Linked DNA regions of Cricetulus griseus. The protein of the gene in region 1 purifies or fractionates together with the protein of each later gene. This does not show direct contact. Links are inferred from orthologs where the notes say so. Each region holds a gene or a part of one and is shown on either strand. Other genes may lie near its edges. The genes, in order: Prkaca, Palm2akap2, Cdc37, Vapa, Akap7, Akap5 and Akap11.

Region 1 (4,003 bases):
TGAGTTTCACTGTTTAGCCCAGGCTATCCTGGAACTCTCTATGTGGCCCAGGCTGGCCTCAGGCTCCTGAGAGTTAGGACAGGGGTTGGTGACAGCACACTTAGGTGGGGAATGTGGAAGGCTGTTTTGGTTCCTTCAAGGACTGAGCTCCATACCCTGGCCTCACCTTCCCAGAGACGATTTTCTCGTAGATCTGGATAGGCTGGTCAGCGAAGAAGGGTGGGTAACCAGCAGCCATCTCGTAGATGAGGACTCCGAGAGCCCACCAGTCCACAGCCTTGTTGTAGCCCTAGAGCAAGATGGGGGGCCATTCGATGAAGCAAGAAGGTGAAGAGGAGATGATTCCTCAGGGGCAGGGTGGGCTAGTGAGGTGGAGCAGGCCTCAGGGGTGGGGCAGGCTGGTGAGGTGCCTACTTTGCTCAGGATAATCTCGGGGGCCAAGTACTCAGGGGTCCCACACAAGGTCCAAGTCCGGCCTTTCACACGCTTGGCAAAACCGAAGTCTGTCACCTGTAGGCACAAGAATAGGTAGTAGGTAGGAAGAAGGGCCGCAGGTGTCCATGTGCCCAGGAGCGCCCTCCCCCGGCCTCGGGCACCTGAATATAGCCCTGCTGGTCGATGAGAAGGTTCTCGGGCTTCAGGTCCCGGTAGATGAGGTCCAGGGAGTGCAGATACTCAAAGGTCAGGACGATCTGCGCCGCGTAGAAACGGGCATGGGGCTCGCTGGTGGGGACAAGCCAGGAGGGGATATGTGGGTGAACATGACCACAACCCCATGTGGTCTAGCAAGTGTGTCTGTGTGCCCACAGAGTAAGATACCCCATGTCTAGCTAATCAAAATGTAGATTCAAGGCTGGCCATGATGTCATGCACCAGTGGTCCCAGCTATATAGAAGGCTGAGGCCGGGGATTATGTCCCCAGGTTTCCAAAGACAGCCAGGGTAACATTCAGAGACCCAATCTCTAGTGCAAAAACTGGGGGGCCTGTCATGGTGGCACATATCTGTCACTATAACACTGAGAGGCAGAGGCAGAAGGACTGGCATATATCTAAGACCAACCACCATGAGTTCCAGGCTAGCCCAGTCTACTTAGTGAGACCTTGTGTCAAAAACAAAGCAAAACAGAAAGTCACACCTTCCCCTCATATTCTAAGCTGTACAATTCTATTCCAAACTCAGCTAAAACAAATTTGAGCTGGAAGGCTTAGAAGGGACAGGTGCTTTGCTGAGGAGCCAACCTATCCAAGAAAGCAGTTTAAAGGGATTTTGTCTGATAATCAGAGTTTTGGAAGAAAGTCACCAGGGTACATACAAGAATCAAAACAAAAACCACCCTGCCAGACATGATGGCATACACTTTGAATCCTAGCATTTCAGAGAACTATGAGTTCTAGGCCAGCCTGGTTGGTCTACATGGTAAGTTCTAGGCCAGCCAAAGTTACATAATGAGACCCTGTCTCAAACAAAACAAAACAAAAAAATAACCCCCAAAATACCTCACAGGGTCAACTACCAAAGACTACAGGTCTCATTTTTGTTTTGTTTTGTTAAGTCAAGCAAAACTAATGTTCACAAAACAAGGACAACTTTTAGAGAAACGCCAGGGGAGGTGAGCTGTGACTCTCAGCAGCTGCCCAAAGAAAAGTGAAGGAGAAGGGAAAGCCACTCTGGTTGAGTTACCAGCATGGAGGGCAGGCAGCCACATGACAGCAGACAGTCACATGGAAGGGAGGAGGACTTTAGAGAAAAAGGAAGCACAAGGTACCAGAAAAACTGTGCTCAGGGTCCGGCCAGCACCCTTGAGACAGACACAAAAATGAAAAGGGAAGGCTCTGCCTTTCTGACTCAGGCAGACCTCACCATGCGCAGGGAGACTTCGCTTTTGGATTCTGCTTTGAAGGTGTTTGCTTATATTTGAGACAGGGGCTGTTTATGCAGCCTAGGCTAGCCTCAAACTCCTGATCCTCCTGCCTCAGCACCCTCGGGGCTGGGACTAGAGGTGTGCACCACCATATTTGACAAGACGTTTGGATTTTAGTGTATACAAAATATATTTATATCTAGTTGTCAAGTAACACATATATTTGTATAAAATTTTAAACTACATAAAATTATCCATTAATTAAAAAAATTTTTTTTGCTAGGTGCAGTGGTGGCTTTCTGTGGTTCCTAGGAGAACTGAGTCAGCCTAGGATTTGAAGGCTAGCCTGAGCTACACAGTATGATCTCTCTCGCTCTCTTTTTTTTTCTTTTTGTGCTTAGCTATCTGAAACACCACAAATTGCTTAGCATAACAGGAACAAAACCCCACAGGGGCTGAGTGTGGTGACTACAGTCTATCACATCCAGCACTGAGAACCAGAGGTTCTTGAGCCAAAGACCAGCTTTGGCTATATAGCAACACCCTATCAATAAACAACACACACACACACACACAAACACACACACACACACACACACACACACACACACACACACACACACACACACGCACACTAAAAAACAAAACCCCACCAGAACTCAGAGACATCACTTTCCATTTCTAAGTAGACTGGACCCTCTATGTCCCTGGATGGTAGCCCTTGGGGTGGCAGGGATGGGGCTTGCTTACCTGAACCTTCCGATCCGCCGCAAGTGGGAGAACATCTCCCCACCAGGCACATACTCCATGACCATGTACAAGTTTGAGTTGTCCTGTGGGAGGCAAAGTGAGTCAAGGCCCTGTCTCCAGGCACTGGGCCCCAGCTGGAAACCTCAATGGCCTGCAATGGCAAGCAATGAAATCTTCCCAGTGGTCCATATTTCAAGCACCAGGAGCTGCATTTTCTCTGGGAGCAGGAAGAGGCAGTTACATCTCTCTTCCCACAAGGGGAGAAAGTGAGGACCTGGCCACAGGCCAGCCATAGTCCTGCAGTGGCTACTGTCTCAAGCTTCACCTTCACTATCTGCCAAACACGAAAGACGGAGACAGAATTTGCAGGACCCAAAACAAAAAAACGTGTGGGGCATGATAGCACACAGCTGGAGACTCTGCTGCTAGGGTGGGTGAGGACTTTGAGCCCAGCCTGGGTTGTAGAACAAGAAGAAAACATAAGTCTTGCTGAAAACAAAACAAGAAGTATTACAGGCTGCTGGAGAGGTAGTTCTGCTCTTCCAGGCTCACAACAAAAAGAACAAATGATTATTACAGGGCTGGGGATGCCGCTCAATTGTAGAATCCTTGGCTACCACATACAGAGCCTTGGGTTCTATGCCCAGCACCACAAGAAACAAAACAAAAACAGCAGGGAGTGATGACGCTCACGTGTGATCCCAGCACTCAGGGAGCAAAGGCAGGAGGATAGTGAGTTCTGAGCCAGCCTGGACTACACAGTGAGACCCTGTCTCAAAACAACAAAAATCATGTCGGGCATGGTGATACACACCTTTAATCCCAGTGCATGGGAGGCAGAGGCAGGCACATCTCCGAGTTCTAGGCCAACCAGGACTGTTACATAGGAAAACCCTGTCTTGAAAAAACAAAAACAAACAAACAAACAAACAACAACAAAAACTGGGGGCTGGAGAGATGGCTCAGAGGTTAAGAGCACTGCTTGCTCTAGCAGAGGTCCTGAGTTCAATTCCCAGCGACCACATGGTGGCTCACAACCATCTATAATGAGGCCTGGTGCCCTCTTCTGGCCTGCAGGCAGAACACTGTACACATAATAAATAAAAATAAATCTTAAAAAAAAAAAAAGAAAAAACAAAAGAACAATATCATGTATAGCTTCTGCTGGGGAACTTCTGGTTACTGCCTGTTCAAGAGGTGTTCCCACAGGTTCTTATGCAACTGCAAGAACTCTTATTTTATGATCTCACAACATGAGAGCTGTACTGAGTCCCATTTCACAGATCAGAAGAGCAAGGCTCAGTATGGCCAGTGCCTCTCCTGCAGGGCACAGTGGGAAGAGGTTCCCTGATTGCCTAGTGGCAGTCTGTCAGGGTGGTGACTCTGAGGG
Region 2 (4,003 bases), on another chromosome or scaffold:
GTTCATCATGTTTTAGGTTAAAAAAATTCCTCAATATTCTAGAATTCCCAGAAATTGAAGAAAGGAAGCCTTAAGAAGCCCAGGGAATGTGACAATCAGACCATGTGGAAATATTTATGATCTTTCTTTGTCTTTCAATGCTTTTCACATTGAAAAACCTTTGTCTGTCTATTTGATTTTTGTTGAGATGTGGTATCTCTGTGTAGCCCTGGCTATCCTGGAACTCACTCTGTAGAACAGGCTGGCCTTGAACTCACAGAGATCCACCTCATGTACCACCACTGCCCAATTTTTTTTTTTTTAAGAGTGGAGAAAACTATACATTGAGGTTACCCAAAACATCCTCTTACCCATGGGAATATGAAAACAAAATAAAAAGTAAAAAAAAGAAAAAAGCACAGATGTGAGACTAATCAGCTGGGCATGGGAAATGGACAGCTAATGCTTACAGCACCATCCTGGATTCAGTAGGGGTGTAATGACAGCCCCTATAGGTCAGAAAGACTGTTTTAAGAAATATGGTCACTGCAGAGAGACTTCTCAAAATGATCCACTTTTTGAAAATAGCTGAATTCAATCAGAAGATACCCATGAGAAAGAAAACAATATAAAAATTTACATTTTGGGAGAGCTTGGAAACAAGGCTTATGGGTTGGCGAGCACTACAGATGCTGAAAACAATGGTGGCCTGAGGTCCTTAGAAAGTCCTGTAGAAAGGGTTCATTGGGTAAGCCATAGAAAGAGAAAGCTGCTGACTGGCAGGTGATAGATGCGTCAGTCCCTACACTTTAGCTGGGCCAGGCGCTGGGTTCTTTGCTTTCCAGTCAACTTCGTATCCGTTTTAACAGAAGGAAAGTACAATACTGTAATTTGGAAGCGTATGTAAGGCAGCAAAGAAAACGTGTCACCCTAGAACAGCCAGGTTAAGATAGGTCCACTTTCGACTATGCTAGCAACCGGCTAGAGCTCACAGCATTTTGCTACACAAGATATATATAAAAAAAAAAACAAAGACCCACACAGCAAAAGAGGCAGGCGAGAAGCCAGGGGCATGGCAGTGTGTATGTTCTGTGTATGCGTGTCTATGTTAGAGGAACACACGCCAAAATGAAAACCCCCGGTGCCAACAACGGGTGTGAGTCCAGTCAAGTCAATTAAGGCTACTAGATAACCAGTTGCTATGAAGAGTCCACTCCAATCGAGCAGTACGGCACTGATTCACTCTTGAAGACACAAGGAAAGGTTTAGAGGAAAAAGTAAGTTCTTGGGGAGAAAAAAAAATGAAGCACACACATGCACGTTGTTTCCCAAGTGAGAAGGAAAGATGTGAGTGAGAGATCAAAGCAAATCCAACTGCGAGGCAAGGCAGGTGTTTGCTTCCAGTTCACAGTATCGCTGTTAGTGGTACAGTGAGGTCTATTTAAGAGGTGGAGAGTAGAGAGGCTGCCCGGAAGAAAGGGGAGGAGAAAGAAGTGGTCACATGACAACACAGCATTGACAGCGCTTTTTCTTTTGGGTACCTGGGGCCGGTTCTGTGGCCAGGCTCTCTTCCTTGCCTTCTGGGGATGAGGGTTCTGTGGTGTCTGACACGGGTCTCCCGGACACCAGCTCAGCTGCATTTCCATCGATCGTGGACACGTCCGTCACTGTCTTCTCTCTTAGCGACTTCTCATCGTCTTCATCGATTAGGACTAGTTCGGCCTTGATGGTTTCGTCATAGCCTAGCACCTTTTTAGTCTCCTCTTCATCTTCAATGTTTTGGTAGCCCATAAAAATCATGGTGACGGGTTGATCCAGGTTTGCCTCTGGCCCTTCCGTGCTGGAGGGCTGGGCCTGCTGCCCGGGGTTTCCCGAAGCGTGATCTTTCCTAGATTTTTGTACCATTTCTAACTTGGCTTCTTTGCAGAGCATGTGTTCCTTGGGATGGCCCAGGCTCCCATCTGCAACAACAGTCCTTTCAGACATGTGTCCCCTGAAGCTCGATTGTCCAGCCTTCTGAATTAGTTCTTCCACATCCTTTGCGCTTAATTTGTGGACTCCGTTTTCTACCACAGTGCCTCCTGAGTGCACCTCATACACTACTTTGGTACCATCATCATAGACTTTGACTCCTCTCTGATGGACCCCCTCTGGGCCAATGGTGGATGCAGAGAGAATCTTGGTCTCTCCTGTCTGTTTGTCTTTCTCCACATTAATTTCCATGGCGTATATAGCTTGAATGAAAACAAGAGAAAGGAAGTGCATGTTACAACAAAAAAAAGCCAGTGAATGGTTAATTGCCAAACAGACAGAAAAAAAAGTGGTCTGTGCCCTTTCTATTGTAACCATCAAGCATCCTGAGTGTTAGCATGTAGTGGGCAGTGTGGACAGAGGCGGTTGCGTGTGTTCTTCACACAGCAGCTTAATGCACTGGGAAGACAGATGCAAATAGTCACCACATCTTAATGGACCCAGACTTTTTAAGAGACCAGCTAAAATAAGAGACTTCGGATCTAACAGGGCAGAGTGATGGGAAGGCCAGAAACATGCAAGTGATCTTGACTGAGATCTGCCTAGGCTTATAGACAATGTCAAAGAGGCGCCTACCTTCCAGAAACTTAGTCATTTTTTCCAACTCTTTCATCAAATATGTGCCTATTTTTTTCCTCTACATTTTCTTGGGCCTGTTAATGGAGAAGGTGCCAAGTGTTTTGCAGGCAGGACGTAGCTGTCCTCCCCTACACTACAATTAGTTATTCTGCAGACACTGAAAGAATAGGAAAGCATACTCTGAGAGTAACCCAGTCATTGTCTGACCTCCAGCTGAAGCATAAAGTTACTGTATGACAACCCCAGGACAAACCCTTTGTAGGGAAGAAAGCATCTTTCAAATGCCTCAGCGACCACAGCAGCATATGGAATTCATATAGTCATTATAAAGGATTATTTTCATATCACATGTGAGGGAGAACAGCTGTGTCACTAAGCAAAAACAGAACCAGTGAGAGGACAGGTGGTCATGACATCTGTAACATAGGAACAGAGGATGGTGCCCTCAAAGGCCCTCTGTCCTCTCTCTCTCTCTCTCCCTCTGTTTTTCAACACAGGTTTTCTCTGTGTAACTCCGGTTGTCCTGGAACTCACTCTGTAGACCAGGCTGGCCTCAAACTACCTGCCTCTGCCCCCCTGAGTGCTGGGATTAAAGGCTCTCTCCACCAGCATTCTGTCCTCTCTTTTCCGAATAGTGTTAAGGCTCATGATTCTGTCCCATTGTATTTTCCCTCCCGTTGTCTTGTTTTTTGCTGTTCTGCTCCATGTTGTGATGGATGCTCACGGCCACGATACTCTTCTTTCCTTTTGCCTAGGCTAAGAAGAGTGTCACCCAAGGCACCAGACTCTCCAACCATCTCACATCCTGATGCTTATGTACCAGCTCTCCCCTGTCCTATAGCCTCTTGGGACACCCAACATTTGTGTCCATTCCCTCAGAGGCTCCCTGTGAAACACACGTTGTGGATGGAATGGGGTAGCAGGCCCACAGAGCCACCTGGCTGCAGGCACCCTTTACCTAGATGGTACCCAGATACGCTGGGCTCAGCAGCTTCAAAACCATTACAGCCTCTTCTCTCAACTCGTCCCTCATCTTGGTATGGTGACACTAGTACTACAGTTTCGATGCTTAGTCTGTAAGCCAGAAGCCTTGAATCATGTCTGATTCATCCCTTCTTTCTACTCTCCCACATCCAGTCACTGAGGGGATCTGCTTCAGGTTTTCCCATCCATCCCCTCATCATTATCTCTTTCCACAAGCCTCAGTCCAGACCCACTCAAGTCCCGAGGACTACACATATAGACGGGGCCAAAGGCAGGCCGGGGCCTGTTTTCTTTCATATGGCCAGGAGGAAGAATGGTTTCCTATACTTTTAAAAAGGTTGTATAAAAAGAAGGAAGTCATTTGGGAGATGGAGACAAGAGAATTTGGGATTCAAGGTCACTCTCCAATACACAGTGAGTTTGAGGCCAG
Region 3 (4,003 bases), on another chromosome or scaffold:
TATCCCAGCTCACTAAGTTAGCAGACAATGACCATGACCTCATTCCTGATGCTCCTCCTGAGTGTGGTGACTGTAGGTATGTACCTGCCACTACTGGCTTTATGAGTGCTAGGGCTTGAACCAAGGGCATCCTGAATGCCAGGCAAATGTTTTTGTAGCCCCAGTCCTGACCAGCAAACTTTTTTTTTTTTTTTTTTTTTTTTTTTTAGACAGGGTTTCTCTGTGTAACAACCTTGGCTGTCCTGGAACTCACTTTGAAGACCAGATATCCACCTGCTTCTGCCTCCTCAGTGCTGGGATCAAAGCTGTGGGCCACCACCGCCTGGCACACCTCTCCTTTCTTAGAGAAGCCCAAGAGGGACACTAGTTTTGTTTTGTTATTTTGTGCTGCTGGGATGGAACCAGAGTCCCACACATACCAGGCAAGGACTCAACCACTGAGCTACACCCCATCTTCTTATTGCTATTTTGAGACAGGGTTTCACTGAGCTGCTCTGGCTCATCTTGAACTCATCCTGTCTAAGCTTGGCCTTGAACTTACAACACACTGCTCTTAGCCTCTTGAGATGACAGGTTAGCACCACCAGGCCCACCCAGAGGCCATTCCTTCCCGTCTGTTGCAGAACCTTGGGGACCATGTCTAGACACAGGCACCAGGGCCACATATGGGAACTCACAGTGGGATCCATCTTGCTGATGGCATCTTGCAGCATTTGCACGTCCTTCACATCAAAGCACTTCTGCAGTTCCTGGGGTACAGAGGGGTAGGGTGAGGACCTGGGCTAGTGGGTGTGGGGAGGTTGACAACATTCACAGATCACCCTCCTCCCTCCTGGGCTCTGGGGAGTCACACCTCAGGCAGGGACTCATAGACCTCCACGGGGTCCAGGCCACCAGGGCCCAGCCTCTTCTTGCGCTCCTCCTCCTCGTACTCCTTCATGGCCTTCTCTATGCGCAGCTTGGCACGGCCCCGCACACGCTCCTTAAAGGCCTCCAGTTCGTATTTGAAGCCCTCCATGTACTGTTGGTCGGCGGTCTGCAGAAGACGGTGGGCGCTATTCACTGGGCAGTTGACACCCAGGTCTTTAGGTGGTAAGGTCCCTGTCTGCAGCTTTTGGAAGCCTTCTGGGGCTCCCCAAGGCTTTTCCTGAACTTCCCACAGGCACCTCAAGGCTTGGCCTTGCTCTCTGTACTCAGTGCCCCTTGCTACTGTCTTGTGGGCCCATCTACTAATGGCCAACTGCCAGGCCCAGCTAAACAGCACAGGCCTGGTACTACACCTTCAGGTGTCTTCCAGCAAGGCCTTACAGGCACCTCAGTTCTGGATTGTTCCTGCCTGCCCCACTCTCAGGATCCCCGGCCTTTCAGAGGATCATATACCAGGAGCTCCAGCTCCAGGGATCTAACAGCCTCTTCTAGCCTCTGGAGACACTTGCTTGCACACAGACTCAGGCACACACACACCAACAATAAATAAATATGTAAAGTAAATTAAAAAAAAATCTTAAATAGTGTCAGCAAGGTGGTTCAGTGAGTGAAGTGTTTGCCACGCAAGGCCAACAGCATGTTTGATCACTAGAGCCCACACAAAGGTGGAAGGAGAGAATCAATTCCAAAGTTGTCCCCTGACCATGAGTCCACATACACACAAACCATACAAACATATATAACATACATACATGCATGCACACAATTTTAAAGATTAAAAAGAAATAAATAAGGCCATATTTGGCCACTGTAATCTCCGCACCACTCTGCGCCCTCCCAATAAAAGATCTAACCACAGGCCCCTAGTCTGTGTGTACACTGTGAGCTTTCTGGTGGTACAGGAGTCCATACCTTGATCTTGGTGAAGAACTGCCTGAAGCAGGCACGGGGATCGACCTTCAGACTCTTGGCCAGCTCCAGAATGAACTGCATCACCATGGTCTGGTGAGCTACCTGCTCCATCAGTGCACATTTCTGCCAGGACAAAGGTGGGGTGTCACCGAGAGGCAGTGTCTGGGAGTCTTTCTGAAGCTGGGCCAGGCTATACTCACCTCCTCCACTTCCAGGTCAATGCACCAGATAACCAGGTAGTTGGCGGTCTCCTCGCACACCAGGTGGACATTGTCTGACAGGTACTTCTGGCTGTCATCCCAGCGGTGGAGCATGCCTGCAGGGAAGGGTGTTGCAGAGGCTGTGGGAAGCCCTTTCCTGGCCTTGACTCCCAACTGCAGGCCCCGTGCAGGCACTTACCGAAATGCTTGATCTGTTTCTCGTACTTTTCAACGAAGGTCTTGTGTTTCTGCTCTCTTGCCTCCTCTGAGTCTTCCTCTGCCTTCTCAGGCTTGATATTGACTATGCTCTGTGACAGGGCGAGAGGGCAAGTGGGCTGGGGCAAGGCAGGGTTGCGCCTGGGGTGCGGGGGCCTTGGCCGCCGCGCCCATCCTGTCCACATCGGAGGCGGAGGCGTCGCTAAGTGCATCAAGGTGGCAGAGGCGTGGCCGCGGGCCTTCGGGCAGATCAGAGGGTATGGGTGGGCTTCATTGGTCTCTACCGGCCAATCCCACGATCAACCTGTCCCCCCCATAACTCTGCCGGCCTCTCCTTGTCAGAATGAGGAGACAGGTATGGACCCAGGGCCTTCATAGTTCACCGTCAGGTCCAGCCTCCACCACCAAAGCATGCGCATCCCACATCTGACCCTGCTCTGCAGCGCTCTCACCCACCCGCACCCCTGCAGTGCTCTGCTCTGCTCTGCTCTGCAGTGCTCCCGCCCGCCTGCGCCCACCTTGCTGAAGCCGTCCTTGCTGAGGGTGTCCACGTTCCAGGGCATGCTCTTCTCCTTCTTGCGCATGTCCTCCAGCTTCTGCTCCCAGCTTCGCTCCTCCTTGCGCAGCTGCTGTGCCTCAGCTCGCAGCCGCTCAAGCTCCACCTGGCCACCGCCTTCAGCCACTTCCAGCTCCCTCAGCTTGCGTTGGCATTCGGCTACCTTTCGCTTGCATTCACGGCAGCCCCGGTCCAGTTCGTCCTTCTCCTTCTGAAACTGCTCCATGCGCTCCACTCGGGCCTGTGGGCAAGGACAGCCAGCAGCTGGTCACTTGGTCCCTTGGGAGCCCGGCATGGTGGCACTCCCCTTTAGTCTCAGCACTTGGGAGGCACAGGCAGGTGGATCTTTGAGTTTGAGGCCAACCTGGTCTACAAAGAGTTCCAGGGTAGCCTAGGCTACACAGAGAAACCCCATCTCAAAATAAATAACAACAACAAAAGAAACAAGCCAGGCAGTGGTGGCGCACGCCTTTAGTCCCAGCACTGGGAGGCAGAGGCAGGCGGATCTCTGTGAGTTTGAGACCAGCCTGGTCTACAAGAGTTAGTTCCAGGACAGCCTCTAAAGCCACAGAGAAACCCTGTCTCGAAAAACAAAAACAACAAAAAACAAACAAACAAACAAACAAAAGAACAACTTAGTTCCTTGATCCCTGCCCAGCCACAGCCTTGGGGTTTCAATCCCTGCAACGGACATGACCCCAAGAGATGTGTACACCAAAGTCTAAGTCCTGCCCTCCCAACTTCCACCCTGCCTACCATGGAGGACTAGACATACTCTGGTTGGACAAACCCTGGGTCCTTGCTACAGTCCACATAGCTACGAGCTACTTGTTGGTGCCCCAATGCCACATTTTTACAGTTTTTCGTCTTACTAGCAACTGCTTCTCTGTGTAGCTGAGAACGAACCTGGGCCCCTGGTCCTCTACCTCCCCAGGACAGGAGCAAGGTAGAGCAACAGCAACTGGCCATGTGAGGGGAGTAGCTCAGCAGCAGTGGCCTTGTTCAGAATTTTAATTTTGAAAAAATAGGTTTAATCAATTTATTTATTTTTGTGTATATGCATGCTCACATGTATCGCAACAACACACAAAGAGGAAATGTGGGAGCCCACTGTGTGGGTGCCAGGGATGGAACTCAAGTTGTCGGGCTTGGTGGCAAGTGCCTTTACCCACTGAGCCACCTTGCTAGCCCT
Region 4 (4,003 bases), on another chromosome or scaffold:
TTTATATAACCTCTTTCTGAGACATGTAAAGGGATTTGTGTGTCTGTGTCTCTGTGTGTGTCTCTGTGTGTGTGTGTGTGTGTGTGTGTCTGTGTGTGTGTCTGTGTGTGTGTGTGTGTGTGTCTGTCTGTCTGTCTGTCTGGTAGTGGGGTCATAACAGCTCCTATAATAGTCTTAGCTTTTATGAATTTAGTGTTGAGTGTTGGTGGATAGATGTCCATGCATGCTTTCAGGGTAGGTTATAACTTTCATCAGATTTTCAAAGAATTCTGTGGCTTAAAAATGTGGGCCAGATGTTACTTTGAACCAAGCAGCAGTCTTTGTTAGCCATAAAGCTTGGCCATTTTGCTCATGGTTATCAGTAGTCTTTACCCGTCCCTTCTAAGAAGCAGCGGTGAACTTAACCTGAGGCTTGCCAGTGGAACAAAGCCCCCAGTTTACTCTCTTTAGGTGTCTTCTTATGGGATTTATGGCATTGTTTTCCTAAGGTGAAAATGTCTAATTAAGCATTTTGTTTGGGGAGATTCTTTGTCCTTTTAATGTATTATTTGATCTCTGCTTTTTTTTGGGGGGGGGGGTTCGAGACAGGGTTTCTCTGTGGAGCTTTGGAGTCTATCCTGGCACTTGCTCTGAGGACCAGGCTGGCCTCGAACTCACAAGAGATCCACCTGCCTCTGCCTCCTGAGTGCTGGGATTAAAGGCACATAAAGTTTTTAGGAGTTTGTTGATTGAAAGTATGTATCTATTATTAACATCCTATGCAGGCTGATCAAGCCAAAGAGCCCACCTGCCACACTCAAGCTCACAGTTACTGCCATGACTTGCGCCATGACTTGTGGGTATTGAGACTAGCAAGGAGGGAACGCCTTGCTTCATCCCTTTCAGATGTTTATTTCTAGTGAGTTGTATTGTAGAGATGTTAAATCATCTGCTTTTTAAAGAAATAAACAATTGGGGAGCAACAAAGGGTATAAGATAGTCTACTGAATGCACTAGTAACTTAGAATGAAACAAGCACTTGAGAATAAAACTTGACTTCTCAAAGCTTGGACCTACCTCTTTTTCAGTCATCTCACTTTGTGACGGAGTTCCTTTTTCATGTTAAGCATTAGGCAGACCTGTTTGTTTGTGTCAACTGTAGTCTATAGTGACTCATTTTGCTTTTCTTGGGAGCCTTTGTCGTAGACAATTTCCCAACATTCAATCAAACTTTATTGGACATGGCTGGAGAATTTTCTCAATCTGGATTTCAAAGTATGACATTCCAAAGTTTTAAAAACAGCATGATGTTTAATATTTAAATAAACAGGGTCAGTGGTGACCCAGGGTTAAGAGGGCTTGCTGCCACTCTGAAGGCTAATGTTCAATCCATGTAAACATACTCGAAACACCAGTAAGTAACTGAAACAAGGATCACATAAAAATAGGCTTTTATCATAGTTGTCTTTGACAAAGAAAAAACAAAAGCATAACATTGATTTTTAAAAGACCTTTTAAATTTTTGGAGTAATTAGTGATACAGGCTTATCGTTTTCTATTTGACATGTTCTTAGGTGTTTTTTTAATCTTCTCTCTTAAGAAATTCTTGCTGTGTAAACTAGATTGTATAAAGTCTTGGTTTTTCAAACAAAAGCAAATAGGTCTATCTTCACATCTCATAGCCTGCTTTAAAACAATGAGGATGTACTGGTTAAGTAGAGCTGGATCCGATGTTTGAGTTCTGTCCTTGTCTTTTTGTTGAGTACAGAACCACAGCTGTAAGACAACAGCTTTGTATCTAGATAGCGGGTCTGACACATTGTTGTATTTATAAGTACTCAACAGGTATTGGGAAAAGCTTAAGTACTGTCAGCTTTTAGTGCGTTTGGGCATAGAAACTTTACAGTTGGCCTTGGGAATGTGAAGACCCCTGGGGAATTCTGTCACTTGTGTGGCAAGAACACTGTAAGAATAGAATGCGGTTAACATGGTGGCTCTGGATGGAGATGCTTTTTGCCAAGCCTGAGGGCCCAAGTTCGGTTTCTGGTACCCACCTAATGGGAGGAGAGCACCCATCCCCAAATGCCTTCTGATCGCCATAAAGCTCTGTGGCATGTACAACACATAAACTTAATCAGAATTAAAAAACTAAAATCATATGGTTGAATTTATCAAAAGATGGATAGAGACAATTCTTATTAATTTAATCTTGAATTCTGCTTTTGATGTGACTCCAGTTTTAATTGTCTGTCTGTCTCTTTTAACCTTACAGGCCCCTTCACAGATGTAGTCACTACAAATCTTAAATTGCGAAATCCATCGGATAGAAAAGTGTGTTTTAAGGTGAAGACCACAGCACCTCGCCGGTACTGTGTGAGGCCCAACAGTGGAATTATTGACCCAGGGTCAACTGTGACTGTTTCAGGTAGCTGCTAGACTTTTGCAGTTTTGAATATTGACATTTCATGACTTTTATTTAATAGTGTTTTCATCTGTTTATATTTGGCTTCAGTTTTTGTTTAAAGGCTTTCATTGGGTATCTTGCCATTACAAACATTTATTGAAGCTTTATCCCTCTTGTTTTGTATGTAGGTGTGTGATTAATTATTGTCAATTTGGAACATCATATCTTCTATAGCTCACCACCATATTCTGTGTTCTTACTAGTTTATCTTTGAAAAAACAGTAACTCTTTTTCTTTTTAAAAAAGCAATAGTTCTCAACTCCTGCTTTTGTTAATTACAAAGGGAGCAGGAAAACACATGGAGAGAGAATCTATTTGTCATGTCAGATCATGGGGATCAGTTTGGGGAGCATGGCAGAGAAATGAATGTATTAAAATCCCAGTGATTCCTGATAATACTCTGAAAATTTTAAGGTCTCAAATTATATAAGGCCCATTGGGAATATTTAGAAATAGAATCCAACTGCTGCAAAGACGCCATATGCAGTCTTAGTAATAACTAATTTATTGTTTATTATCTGTCTTGGATTTGTATCACATAGGTTTAACATGCAGATTGAACTCAGAGCCTCGAAACTTCTGTAGGCTAGTCAGATATAAAGACATAAAACATGAATGATATGGGGGAATAAAGTCTAAACATTAAATTATGATTTCCTTTGTTTTCTTCAAATTAAATCTAAACAAATGAATACACTCTGAATAATTGTTTAAAATCCAGTTTAGAAAAATGAGTTACAGCCGGGTGTTGGTGGTGCACGCCTTTAATCCCAGCACTCGGGAGGCAGAGGCAGGCGGATCTCTGTGAGTTCGAGGCCAGCCTTGTCTCCAGAGCGAGTGCCAGGATAGGCTCCAAAGCTACACAGAGAAACCCTGTCTCGAAAAACCAAAAAAAAAAAAAAAAAAAAAAAAAAAAAAAGAAAGAAAGAAAAGAAAAAAGAAAAATGAGTTACACTAGAACAGTGCCTCAGTGTCTATATTAAAATATCACAAAAGTGAACTTAATAATTGAAAGTTACAAAGTTGGTTGTGTATCTTGAGTACAAATGGTATATTTGAGTGTTTGAACCTATCTTTATTTTCCTTAAATTTATGTGTTACTGGGTAGTAGGAGATAAAATGTCAAAGATAATGTGTCTTTTCTTTTTCTTTAGTAATGCTACAGCCATTTGATTATGATCCAAATGAAAAGAGTAAACATAAGTTCATGGTACAGACAATTTTTGCTCCACCAAATATTTCAGATATGGAAGCTGTGGTAAGTAAGTGTAGAAGTACATAAATTATTTGGATATGGAGATTTAAACTTTGGGTTTGTTTAGCTCTGAACAATCCTGATTTCCTTGCCAAAAATTAAATACCTGTAAGTCTGTTTGGAACAAAATTTAAAGAATGGAAAAGTCTTGAAATACTGTTTTCTTAGATACCATTTAGAAATGTGTATTGCTAATGACATTGCCCATTCTTTTCATGATAGTTTTATTTGTTTTATTGGGTGTGTGAGGGGGCATGTGAGGGTCCGAGGGCAGCTTGGTGGCGTTGGTTCTTTCAGTCTAGCAT
Region 5 (2,849 bases), on another chromosome or scaffold:
ATGCATTCTTATTAGTAAAATCTGAACTTTGCCTAAAGCTATATTAGTAATGATGTTTTCTTTTCAGAATATCATGATGTATCTGGTTAGTAGATTCTTTGTAATTATCTCCAAGTCATAGCTTACTCAATTCTGAACATGTTTTGAACTGCACGTGTGCTTAGACTTCTGATCTTCGGCACCATCTTGCCACATTTGAGGGCAAAGCAGTTGCTAAGGCATCTCTCTAGGTTGGTCATAACCCATCCTCACTTTCATTGGTGATATCTGTCCCTAGGCAGGTTGGGTGTGGTTATCAGCAGAATTGGTCCTGCATGTGTGGTGTAGACAAATAACTGGGCTCTGAAGGCAGTATGGGACCAGCAATTACCTCTGGCACATCTTTTGTGCTCCAAGCCCTGTTATAGATGAGGATAGAAAACAGTATCTCTCTTCCTGCTTACACTCACTGTTTTCCTCCTGTCCCAGACCCGAACATGCAGATGTAGCACTGGCTTTGTCATCATGAGCCCTTGGGTGATTGTCCCACAATGAGCTCATCTTACTGTGTGCAGTGTGATGGCTTCTTCAGCACCATCCATCTGATTTCCAACCTACATCATTGGAGGGAGGGAGTGTGCTGAGTGGACTTAGTGGAAGATGCCCTTTACTTTTCCCCAATTTGGAGAGTGGCAGGGTGGGATGTATAGCATGAGAACATGGGAGAAGTAGCTCTTTTTCAAAAGAGTAATGTGAATACTTTACATACACCTGGATCATCACCAGCAGGAGAGCAGAAGGATCATAAAACAGTCACATCTAGGAAGTTACCATCAGGAGATTTTTAAACACAGAACGCTGGCCTTGCAGTCCTGTTTTAAACTGCTGCTGCTGGCATTGGTTACTGCATTTGCCTTGATGTGAGTGCTGGAGAAAACCGGTATCTATGCCAAGCATCTTAAAATGAATGATCACAAGTCATGAGATGACAAGGGACTCTTGATTCCCTGGTAATTAGCATTGGAGAGGGAACAGCAGATCAGATCTCCTTGGTGAATTCATGTGCCTGGGACCTCAGGTGGTAGGCACAAGCAGTAGAGGAACACAAAAGCCCTATGGAAATGGGTAGGCCACAGCATTTCGGGCCAGGGCATGTCTAATGGACTGTCTTCAGCAACAGACAGGCTCATGCTTGGACAAATGTCATAAGAAAAGGCAACCCACTCTCGTTGGATTTATAGATCCCATTTGGCAGAGTGAAGGACACTTGCTCTTTTAACTAGCTGAACTAGCTGGGCCTGGTGGCCTCGTTGCTATGGCAATATGAGCTCAGTGACCTCTCTTCTCTTGTGGAATGTAGGTGAGAAGGACCGAGGGGAGCCTGAGGATGCTGAACTGGTCAGGCTCAGTAAGAGGCTGGTGGAGAACGCCGTGCTCAAGGCTGTCCAGCAGTATTTGGAAGAAACGCAGAACAAAAAGCAGCCGGGGGAGGGGAACTCCAGCAAAGCTGAAGAGGCCAATCAGAATGGCAAAGGCAGTGATAACAACAGGAAGTGAGAGTGGAGCCTATTCCAGCTGCTCTGTGAAAAGCATCCCGGCCCCTCTGCGAAGTCGCAGCCTGACTTGCAATGTGCTATTTAAGGGTCTTGTTCGAGCCCCGGAGATCGCCTACCACATCGATGATTGATGTGTCGGCGTGGCTGCGACACAACAGAAGAGAGTGGGGTGCTGGGGCCAGCAGAAGAAATTAGTCTACAGAAGAACAGTCCCGAGTTCATGTACCATCAAGCATGCACAAGGGCGAGGGGGCACCTCCGGAAGGCACGCGGGCCGAGGGACTGGACTCGCCGCCGAAGGAATACTGCCGTTTACATTGCTTAGAGCATCTGACTACTTTATCTGAGGCCAAAACTTGCACACAGCTATCAAGTACTGAGTTCAGTTTGTCACTGTTGAAATGATCATGTGTGTAGTGAGTCCACAATGTTTCACATTTGTCCCCACTGTACTCTTACCATAATCTTTATTTGCAGTAAATTAAGTTTCATGTAAATTATATATTTTTGGCAAAACGCAATCTTTTCTATGAAATGTGGGTAACATTTTAAAGGTTTTTCAGCCTTATTTTGATAAGTCAGTGTGCCATATTTGATGTATTTCATTGATATTTGAACTTTAAATGTATTATATAATTTTTTCCCCTTAGGCAAGAAACCAGTTGGGATCCAAGACTTAATTAATGAAGCTTTGCACCGAGAAAGGATGGAGCTGAAGTCCAAAGTGAAACAGATAAAGGAACTTTTGCTAAAGCCTGAGACTCAGGCCATGATTAGGAAGGAGCTTTTCGAAGGAAGAGTTCTTAATGATGGTAATCACACGATGATGCTGACTTCAGTGTGACTTTGCTGTAGCTCTTCACTGCTTATGATGGTAAAAACCTTATGAACTCTCAGTCCAGCACATAGCCCTTTGGTAAATAACCAAAGTGTTCTTACAGTTTCTACAAAGCCCACAAACCAACATTTGGTAAGGAATCAACAACTTCTTGCCAAAGAAAACATATTTTTGCCTTATCATCATCATCAGCTAAAGTTGAGTTTTAGAATGTTTGTTTGGGTGTTGACTCATTTTATAGATATAACTTCTTAGTTAGCTGTTGTGAGATGTTCCATGGGTCCTTGCAGATAAAAAACAAAAAGCAAAGAACGTTGATTATGAAAAATCCTTTGTAGACAAAAATACAACAAGACAAAACCAACAACAGTATTCTAAGGGCCGCCTGCCTCCTGTTGATATGACCCTTTCTTACTAGCATTGGCCAGGCTCGTCCAGTCTCACGTTATGTTACATTTGATGAGAATTTGAATGCT
Region 6 (4,664 bases), on another chromosome or scaffold:
CCTCTCGAAGGTAAAGGTGAATCATTTGCAGTCTTAACAGTCTGCAAAGTTTTAACGCCTGCTGCCTGCATCCTTTCCCTGCCTCGGATACACTTGTTGGGGTGTTGATTTCTACATTCGAAGAAGCCTCTTGTGCAAACACTGGGCCATTCAGGTCAGTTTCAGATACTTTCCGGAATATGATTGCATTTGAATATTTCTTCTATCGATAGCTTAGAAGGAATGCTCACTCAGGCTTGGGGACCTTAACACTGGGTTCTAGTGCTTATAAAGGGTGTGTGAGGAGAGACTGTAAATGGTGTGGGTTCCGTCATTATTCTAGAATTTTGTGTTTCTGTGTAGAAACATGAAACGTGCAATACCTACCTTTAAAAAAAAAAAAAAACTCCTTATATCTTAAAATGATTTTTCAGGGTTCCAATCCTACAGAGAATTAGAAGCTGATATGAATGCACCCAAATGAAAGCACAGTACAGAATTTCCATGCAAGCAGAATAATTTGCCTAACTTAGGATGTCTACCAACTAAAATCCATTCCATTCTGTAGATCGTTATTTTTTGGTGGTACTGGGGATCAAATCTCAGACCTTGTGGCTAGGCCAACGGTCTATCCCTGAGCTATATACCCAGACCCACAGCTTAGCTTTGCATATTCTTTTCTCTTGAGACAGGGTCTCAGGTAACCAGTGCTGGCTTCAAATACACTATATGGCTGTGGATGACCTTGATTGGTTCTCCTGCCTCCACCTCCCACATGCTGGTGTTGCCTGGTGCACCACCAAAACCAGCCTCAAATGGAAGTCAGATCACGAGCTTCAGAAGCAGGTGGGCTTCAGAAGCAGGCACCTCAGGTTAAACCTGAGCACTAAGGCTGACTAGCTTTAATCTTAGGCAGGCTGCTTAACTGCAGATGGAGATCTCACCACCTCCTCACTCTGGGATACTGTGGTGCAGGTTAGAGATGCATGAGAAAGTGCTTAGCGCCGCCTCATACCCAGGAGTTGCACAACCAGTGTTGGCTATTACCTCACTAACCTCCAGCTGTGTGCAGTTATAGTGGGAAAGTGTGAGTAGCAGACACTTCGGTGAAAATGTCAAAGTTACACAACAACTTTAAGATGGAAGAACGACAGTCTGAGCAATGCTGGGTTTTTCTGAGAGTCTGTATGGAAAGTAGCACCTCCTTGATGGAATGTACAATTTTAGAACGGAAACCGTATGCTACAATAGAAAGAACACCAGAGAGTCAAAATTTGTACTTCTGACTCTGGCTAGGACCTCATCTAGCCTAAGGCTTTCTGCAAGCCCATTACCCACTGGGGAGCTCAATTTCGTCATTGGGCTGGACTTGATTAATCTTGAGTCATCTCCCAGGTCCTTAGCAATGCCATAGTTCTTCACTGAAGGTGATGAGAAAGGAGTCCCGCTGCCCTATCACTTGCAGTCTGTTGTTTTGTTGTTGTTGCTTGTTAAACTTTTTATGTGGGGCTATAAAATTCATGGAGAAGTCAACTAAGGACCAGGGCACTCTTGCAGAGTGACCACAAACAAAGTTTTAACAAAAATAATAGAACAAAATGGGTTCACACAGGAAGCTTTTTTGATAGGGCAAAAGCAAGCCTCAATTTGAAGCCATGGTTGTTTTGGTATGTACCACAGGGCATATGCCCCATATAACGTAAGTTATATTAAAAATAATAGGCTCGTGGTGAAATATAACCCCACTTTTTTCTCTTATCAGGTTGATCTTTGAATAAAGGCGAATTTTATCCAGGAAAGAGCTTTCATTCGAAGGGGAAAATAAAGGAAGAATCATAAGCAACAGATAAACAAGGCAGTTATGTCCTGAAAAAGCTATAGAAACAACTGTGGAGTGAAAGCAGGGCAGGCACCCAGGAGAAATTGGACTTGGTGTGATATTTTTGTCACAAAAGGCTTCAAGAGGAAGAGAGAAGACACTTCCCAGAGAATGAAAGAGTGTAGTGTAAAAATGGAGACCAAAGTTTCTGAGATTCAGATAGAAACTAAGGATGAGAAGGGGCCAGTAGCTGTTAGTCCTCAGGAAGAGAGGCAGCAGAGAAAAACAGCCACTCTTTGCTTCAAGAGAAGGAAGAAAGCAAACAAGATGAAACCTAAATCTGGTTCCAAAACTGCTGAGGCCACAAAAAAGCATCCCCCAGAAGCTGGGGCTTCTGATCAGCCACAGCCAGCAGGGGCCTGGGCCTCCATCAAACGCCTTGTCACACACAGGAAAAGGTCAGGGTCTTCGGAGAAGCAGAAGCCATCTGAGGCTGAAGTACAGCCCGAGGACTCGGCTCTTCCTAAGAAAAAGGCAAAATCCAGACTCAAGATTCCTTGCATAAGATTCTCAAGAGGGGCAAAGAGAGGTCATCATTCTAAACTCACAGACGATTCAGACTACAACCTCAGAGTCCAAGGAGGGGCTGAGGATTTGGAGACAAAAACCCAGACTCAGTCAACTGACCAAGCTAAGTCCATACAGGGCCCACAGGAAGGTGGGTTGGTGGACAGTAAGGAGGCCCAAGAATCGCATGTCAGCAACAGCATCACATCTAGAGAGAATGTGATTTCTGTAGAACTGGAATTAGAAAAGGAGGCTTCTGCTATTCAGATGGGAACTCCAGTGCTGGAGAAGGAAACTAAAGGGATTAAGGAAAAGCCAAGCGTACAAGCGCAGCAAGCAAGTCCACTCGGGAGTTCAGAAACAGACAGCCCCCGTCCAGTGGCTTCTGATGTTCCTGCCTCACCAGCAACCACCTATCAACGCAGTGTGGAAGAACCCAGGGATGGCATTCAAGAAAGTGCACCAAGTAGAAAAGATGACAGAAGTGGAAAGAGTACAGCTGAAGAAAAGAAATCCGGAGAAATTGTGCTGGGCCAGGCCAAAGAAACTACATTGAGCCAGACAGAAAAAGCTGCTGTCAGCCAGGCAGACAAGAGTGCAATGGCCCAGGCAGAGGAAGGTACCATGGCTGCCATGGCCCAGACAGAAGAAGGTAAACTGAGCCAGGCAGAGGAAGCTTCAGTGGCTCAGGCAGAGGAAGTTGCCTTGGCCCGAGCAGAGGAAGCCATCGTGGCCCAGACAGAGGAAGGTAAACTGAGTCGAGCAGAGGAAGCCACCATGGCCCAGACAGAGAAAGGTAAACTGAGCCAGGCAGAGGAAGCTGCCGTGGCCATCGTGGCCCAGGTAGAGGAAGCTTCAGTGGCTCAGGCAGAGGAAGTTGCCTTGGCCCAAGCAGAGGAAGCCACCATGGCCCAGGCAGAGGAAGGTAAACTGAGCCAAGCAGAGGAAGCTGCTGTGGCCACTGTGGCCCAGACAGAGGAAGGTAAACTGAGCCAGGCAGAGGAAGCTTCAGTGGCTCAGGCAGAGGAAGTTGCCTTGGCCCAAGCAGAGGAAGCCACTGTGGCCCAGGCAGAGGAAACTGCAGTGGCCCAGGCAGTGGAAGGTAAACTGAGCCAGACAGAGGAAGCTTCAGTGGCTCAGGCAGAGGAAGTTGCCTTGGCCCAAGCAGAGGAAGCCACCGTGGCCCAGGCAGAGGAAACTGCAGTGGCCCAGGCAAAGGAAGACGCCGTGGCCCAGGCAAAGGAAGACGCCGTGGCCCAGGTAGTGGAAGGTAAACTGAGCCAGACAGAGGAAGCTGCACTGAGCCAGGCACCAGATCTGAAAGAAAATGGAATCGATACAGAGAAACCCAGATCAGAAGAAAGCAAAAGAATGGAGCCAATTGCTATTATCATCACTGACACTGAAATCAGTGAATTTGATGTTAAGAAATCTAAAAATGTCCCCAAGCAATTCCTAATTTCAATGGAAAATGAGCAAGTAGGGGTTTTTGCTAATGATAGTGATTTCGAAGGGAGAACTTCAGAACAATATGAGACACTCTTAATAGAAACAGCCTCTTCTCTCGTCAACAATGCTATCCAGTTGTCTGTAGAACAGCTGGTTAATGAAATGGTGTCTGAGGATAATAAAATAAATACTCTGTTACAGTGACTTCATTTCCAGATCATGGGAAAGGAAGAAAACAACTCAAAGATGAGTTCTTTTATACATTTGTGGCACTTCTTTCTCAGTAATAAATTAAAGGCTTGTCATCTGTGGAATTTAGAGGGGAAGTTCCAGCCCAGAAGTGCTCAAGAAAAAATGAAGTTTATAAAACTCATTGAAACACAGTCACTTCTGGACTGGAGGGAGTCAGCATAGATCACAAGGTGCAGTGACATGCAGGAAGGTGCAGAATGACCTACGATGAGTTCAGTGTGTTGAGAAAGACTACTTATTGAACACTTGGTGTGCTGTGTGCTCCTTGCTGTTCCCTAATGTCGTGAAGTCTGGGTCTTTCCTGATGGTTCGACCCTGTATATAGGCGAACACTGCCTTTGCTTTTCTTTTACAGTATGTTTTCCTGTTATTTCTAATGGTGAGTCAGGTGGGCTGGTGTTTTGTCCCTCACGGGTTCCTTACAAAGCCATTCACAGGTTTCTTCAGCCGGGCGAGTAGTTAACAAGTGTGTAAGCGTGGAAACAGGGGAGTGCTTTTTCTTCTCTCCCCGTCTTCCTTCTGCCCAGAAGACCTGTATATACCCATCTCCGTGTGGACCTATCTGATGAGACGTTAGAAACAAATAAATGAAGGGAAT
Region 7 (4,003 bases), on another chromosome or scaffold:
GACATACAGGTATCCCAGTTGTGAAAGTGTGACTGATGAGTATGCAGGTCATGTTATCCAAGTGCTGAAACAGGAAGGTGGCAATGGTGAACTACTCATGGACCAGTATGCCAGTAGACTGGCCTATCGATCTGTCAAGTCTGGAGTGCAAGAAGCAGCTAAGACAGTAAAAAGGAAGTGCAGTTCAAAAATGTTCCCTTTGCACAGCTCTGATGTGAAAATAAGCAAGGAACTGTTGACCTCAAATAAAGAGCATTGTCAGGAAGTAGATAAAAGACAAAGAAGAAGAAATGGCAGCCATCTTTGTAACTACCAACCTTGTGAAAGGACACGGGATCCATGTGGAAATGAACTCTCTGAACTGCACAGCTTTTCAGCCTCTCTTGCTAGCATCATAACAAGAGATGTTAAGAAACAGCTGACAGCACCTACAGTTGACTTGCCACAGCCCTCAACAGATTCTTGTCTTCGTGAAAAATCTGGATGTATTGACAAGGGTGAGGGTATTATTGAACCAGAATTTTCAAAGTCTCATCAGCCTTTACAAAACCATGGATTCTGCCAGAATACAGGCACCTTAAGTGGACATAGTCGTGGAGAGAATGCTCAAGCTTTAGAACAGTATGCTAGTAAAGTAGTGGATGACACTTTAGAGCTAAGTTTAGGACCTACAGTTTTCCACATTCCAGAGACCACAGCATCAGCAGATAGAATCACTTATGCCGAAAAATTGTCACCACTCATGAATGGAACTTGTAGATACTGTGACCTTAAGGAACGCCATGGTTGTGCCAGAAGTCCCTCCCAGCCCCCTTTAAAACAGAGTGTATGTGCTAGTGCTAAGCCAGGTTCACATCCAAAACTTGGTAGTATCCACCAGAAATCGAGAATTTTTCATCTTGATGTGCCTCAAATTCATGTTAATCTTGATAAAAGGGCAGTGCTTGCAGAGAAAATAGTTGCTGAAGCTATTGAAAAAGCAGAGAGAGAGCTGAGCAATACCAGTCTGGCAGCCGATAGTGGAATTGGACAAGATGGCATTAGCTTTGCTGAGAGCCTTACCACAGAAATCATGACATCAGCTGTGACAAATGCTGAGCATGTTGTTAGCAGGTACGTTTCAAATTCTCTTTGGGATCTTGTGAAATGAAAATGAAAAGTTAACTTTTTTTGTGTGTATGGCTTCATATCCTGTGCATGGTTTTCACATGAAATATTTGTTTCCCAATCCCTTTTGAGGGACATTATCATCCATTTACAGGGCTGGAAGATGAGAGTTAGAGAACAGTGACCTCAATTTCACAGAACTAAGACACAGGTAAAATTAAAGAAACTGGTGAACTTTATTCACAGATTTTAAACTAGTAATATTGACTACTCTGAGATTAAAGTCTGTTCTGTGGTTGAAGCAGCTTTGTATATGTAGTCTTGGACTATTTTTATTCTTTCTCCCCTATGATAACATCTTCAGAGGAGCCTAGGTGGAAGTTCCTAAGCCCACAGTCTAGGACCTAGCAAATAACTTTGCTATTCATTCTTCAGAATATTCATTTTCTTCTTTAGACCTGGTCGATAATAAGCCTTGAGTTCTTCCTGTAAGTTTGTGGTTTATCCAGGCTGATTTTTTCACAGACTCTTCCTTTGTACTTCTGTTCCTGTGTCTCTTATAGCATTTGTGCCAGTCTTCCCTAAGTACAGTTCAAAGTCCATGCAGTTATATGGAGTTCTGCTTCACATTTTGTAAAGTTAACATGATTTAAGGTTGAAGAATGATTGACTCAAATAGATTATTTGCTAAGATATTAACTGAATGGTTTCACTAATGTCGCTTTTCTCATAAATGTATGATTAATGCAAGTAATCATACTAGTAGAATATATAGTAGAATGTAACAAACCCATAATGCTCACCCGGGTGCTATATGAATATCAAATAGGAAAGCATACTGTAGAGGAGTTTTAGAACATAATATATCTAGACTTTATTTTCAATTACTGTGAGCCCAGTTACCTAGCAATCATTACAAACCCTCCTTTTAACCCCCTCCTGTGGACCATTTTCTTTAAAAAAAAAAAAAAAAAGAAAGAAAAAGAATTGGTAGGTAAATGTTAAATAAAAATAAAGTTGTGGCATAGGATGACTATGTTTGGAATATCGAGTTTAACTGAGTTGTTATGTCTTAAATAAAAAGTGAGAATTGCCTAAAAAGTGGGGAGGGCAGGGGCAGCTCAGGGCTGATTTTAGGTTTTAGGGATATAAAAGAAATGGAAACAGGCAAAAAAAAAAAAAAATGTGTGTTCTCCAAGAGCTTAATATTATAGTAGAATAAGACAAACAGCAGATACATGAGCTGAACAGGACAACAGGGGACATGCTAATGTGGACACACAAAAGCCTATGAGACCTCAGCCCTACACAGACAACTGCGTGAACTCTGGGAGTGGGGGACACAGGCTTCCTAGGGAAGAGCACACCAAGTGCTTGTCCAGTACTAAATGTCATCCCTGAAATATACAGCAATAGTATGTAAGCCTAAGCAGGCTGAATTTCTGTATTTAGGAATATATATGTCTTTCCATATACATATGTATGTGACAACAATAAATGAAAAAAATGGTCATGAATTTTAAAGAGAACAAGGGGGGTTATATGGGAGGGGTTAGAGGGAGAAAAGGGGAAGAGGAGAGTGATGTAATTATAATTTAAAAGAAATAATTTTAAAAAAGGGAGTATTGTTAGCAGAGGTGAGCAAGAACTGTTGGGGCTGGCTTGCATTTTTGAATTGGATAGCAGAGAAACAAAACTAATGGAGTAACACTTAAGCCAAGAACCAAAAGTGAAGATAGAATAAATGATTGGGAATCTGGAGGTGCTGGGATCCAGGCAGAGGGGTGGGAATGCATGTGTGTGACACAGAGAGCTTGTGTTGCTGTTGAGTGACTTGGGGAGTGTAGGTGAGAAAGTGGGCAATATGAGGGGCCTATACATCATGATTGCTTTGAAGCCAAAGGAAGGCTTTGATCCAAAAACTGATAGTTTTTTCTCTTCATGCTTAGAGCATCACTGTTTAGAAATATGTTGAAATAGTGTACATGTATGTATATGTATGTACATGTATACTTATACATACATACAGATGGGCCAAGTAGTATAGTTGCTTTAAATGAGCTTTATTTTTTGACTGTGTCATAAAGATATAAATGTCCCTTCATTAAAAAATAATAAAAGAATTGGGCTGGAGGGATGGCTTGGCTGTTAAAGGCAAGGCTCACAACCAAAGAAATACAAGAATTATTTTTTTTTTAAGGATAAGCCTGGGCTCTCTTAGAACTATGTAGACCAGGCTGGCCTTGAACTCACAGAGATCCGTTGTCTCTACTTCCCAAGTGCTGGGATTAAAGGCCTGTGCCATCATTTCCTGCTAAGAAAGATGTTTCTGATTCATGTTTGAAGAGATTTGTCTAGTTTGAATGTAGGTTTGGTTGACACCACTAGAATTTCAAACTGCCAGAAGGAGGCTCCTTCAGATGCAAATAAAGGTGCTATATTTTTACAGGGCCACTGATGTGTAGACCTTGTAGGAAGGCATGCTTTCTTTAGATAGAGTGTAGATAAACAATACATAAGGACATCTCCACGTAGCAGATGTGGTTCTTGCTGTGCTGTTCTTCAGTCTCATTATTTGCAGATACAGTGAAGTGTTCATGGGATCATTTTATTTCCTGTGATGCTTCAATTATTTTTAAAATTACCACCATGTGCTATTTTCTTAGTCCAAAAGAAATAGAAGATTTTCAGTCAACTGAATCACTTGGCAGCCAGCAGCTGAATCTGAGTGTTGGTGAGGACAGTACTGGTAGCTGGTCCAACTTAAGTTTTGAGGATGACCATCAAGATGAAAGCAGCAGTTTTCATCATCTCAGTGAAAGGTAACTCTGATTTTATAATTAATTATGTTATAAAGGATTTCATTTATATTATTATTATTATTATTATTATTATT

Evidence for each region.
Region 2: the proteins of Prkaca (region 1) and Palm2akap2 purify together in Homo sapiens (affinity purification with mass spectrometry; 5 studies listed by BioGRID and IntAct, with this or other methods). This does not show direct contact. The link is inferred for Cricetulus griseus from reciprocal best matches to the Homo sapiens genes PRKACA and PALM2AKAP2.
Region 3: the proteins of Prkaca (region 1) and Cdc37 purify together in Homo sapiens (affinity purification with mass spectrometry; 3 studies listed by BioGRID, with this or other methods). This does not show direct contact. The link is inferred for Cricetulus griseus from reciprocal best matches to the Homo sapiens genes PRKACA and CDC37.
Region 4: the proteins of Prkaca (region 1) and Vapa purify together in Homo sapiens (affinity purification with mass spectrometry; 4 studies listed by BioGRID and IntAct, with this or other methods). This does not show direct contact. The link is inferred for Cricetulus griseus from reciprocal best matches to the Homo sapiens genes PRKACA and VAPA.
Region 5: the proteins of Prkaca (region 1) and Akap7 purify together in Homo sapiens (affinity purification with mass spectrometry; 4 studies listed by BioGRID and IntAct, with this or other methods). This does not show direct contact. The link is inferred for Cricetulus griseus from reciprocal best matches to the Homo sapiens genes PRKACA and AKAP7.
Region 6: the proteins of Prkaca (region 1) and Akap5 purify together in Homo sapiens (affinity purification with mass spectrometry; 6 studies listed by BioGRID and IntAct, with this or other methods). This does not show direct contact. The link is inferred for Cricetulus griseus from reciprocal best matches to the Homo sapiens genes PRKACA and AKAP5.
Region 7: the proteins of Prkaca (region 1) and Akap11 purify together in Homo sapiens (affinity purification with mass spectrometry; 5 studies listed by BioGRID and IntAct, with this or other methods). This does not show direct contact. The link is inferred for Cricetulus griseus from reciprocal best matches to the Homo sapiens genes PRKACA and AKAP11.

What each region holds. Positions count from the first base shown.
Region 1 is NC_048596.1:160,428,955-160,432,957, forward strand, and holds part of Prkaca (cAMP-dependent protein kinase catalytic subunit alpha), read right to left. Parts: intron 2,697-4,003; coding exon 2,614-2,696; intron 724-2,613; coding exon 597-723; intron 511-596; coding exon 415-510; intron 290-414; coding exon 167-289; intron 1-166.
Region 2 is NC_048595.1:86,145,515-86,149,517, forward strand, and holds part of Palm2akap2 (A-kinase anchor protein 2), read right to left. Parts: intron 2,214-4,003; coding exon 1,521-2,213; intron 1-1,520. UniProt on the Homo sapiens protein: Binds to regulatory subunit (RII) of protein kinase A. May be involved in establishing polarity in signaling systems or in integrating PKA-RII isoforms with downstream effectors to capture, amplify and focus diffuse, trans-cellular signals carried by cAMP.
Region 3 is NC_048597.1:133,999,512-134,003,514, forward strand, and holds part of Cdc37 (hsp90 co-chaperone Cdc37), read right to left. Parts: intron 3,053-4,003; coding exon 2,774-3,052; intron 2,495-2,773; coding exon 2,239-2,494; intron 2,156-2,238; coding exon 2,040-2,155; intron 1,963-2,039; coding exon 1,840-1,962; intron 1,037-1,839; coding exon 854-1,036; intron 750-853; coding exon 678-749; intron 1-677. UniProt on the Homo sapiens protein: Co-chaperone that binds to numerous kinases and promotes their interaction with the Hsp90 complex, resulting in stabilization and promotion of their activity. Inhibits HSP90AA1 ATPase activity.
Region 4 is NC_048595.1:454,550,052-454,554,054, reverse strand, and holds part of Vapa (vesicle-associated membrane protein-associated protein A), read left to right. Parts: intron 1-2,251; coding exon 2,252-2,404; intron 2,405-3,597; coding exon 3,598-3,701; intron 3,702-4,003. UniProt on the Homo sapiens protein: Endoplasmic reticulum (ER)-anchored protein that mediates the formation of contact sites between the ER and endosomes via interaction with FFAT motif-containing proteins such as STARD3 or WDR44.
Region 5 is NC_048595.1:244,336,964-244,339,812, reverse strand, and holds the end of Akap7 (A-kinase anchoring protein 7), read left to right. Parts: intron 1-1,339; coding exon 1,340-1,536; 3' UTR 1,537-2,185; downstream 2,186-2,849. UniProt on the Homo sapiens protein: Probably targets cAMP-dependent protein kinase (PKA) to the cellular membrane or cytoskeletal structures.
Region 6 is NC_048598.1:127,161,928-127,166,591, reverse strand, and holds the start of Akap5 (A-kinase anchor protein 5), read left to right. Parts: upstream 1-1,764; 5' UTR 1,765-1,969; coding exon 1,970-4,018; 3' UTR 4,019-4,664. UniProt on the Homo sapiens protein: Multivalent scaffold protein that anchors the cAMP-dependent protein kinase/PKA to cytoskeletal and/or organelle-associated proteins, targeting the signal carried by cAMP to specific intracellular effectors.
Region 7 is NW_023276807.1:232,866,236-232,870,238, reverse strand, and holds part of Akap11 (A-kinase anchor protein 11), read left to right. Parts: coding exon 1-1,113; intron 1,114-1,261; coding exon of another isoform or gene 1,262-1,274; exon of another isoform or gene 1,275-2,655; intron 2,656-3,773; coding exon 3,774-3,929; intron 3,930-4,003. UniProt on the Homo sapiens protein: Binds to type II regulatory subunits of protein kinase A and anchors/targets them.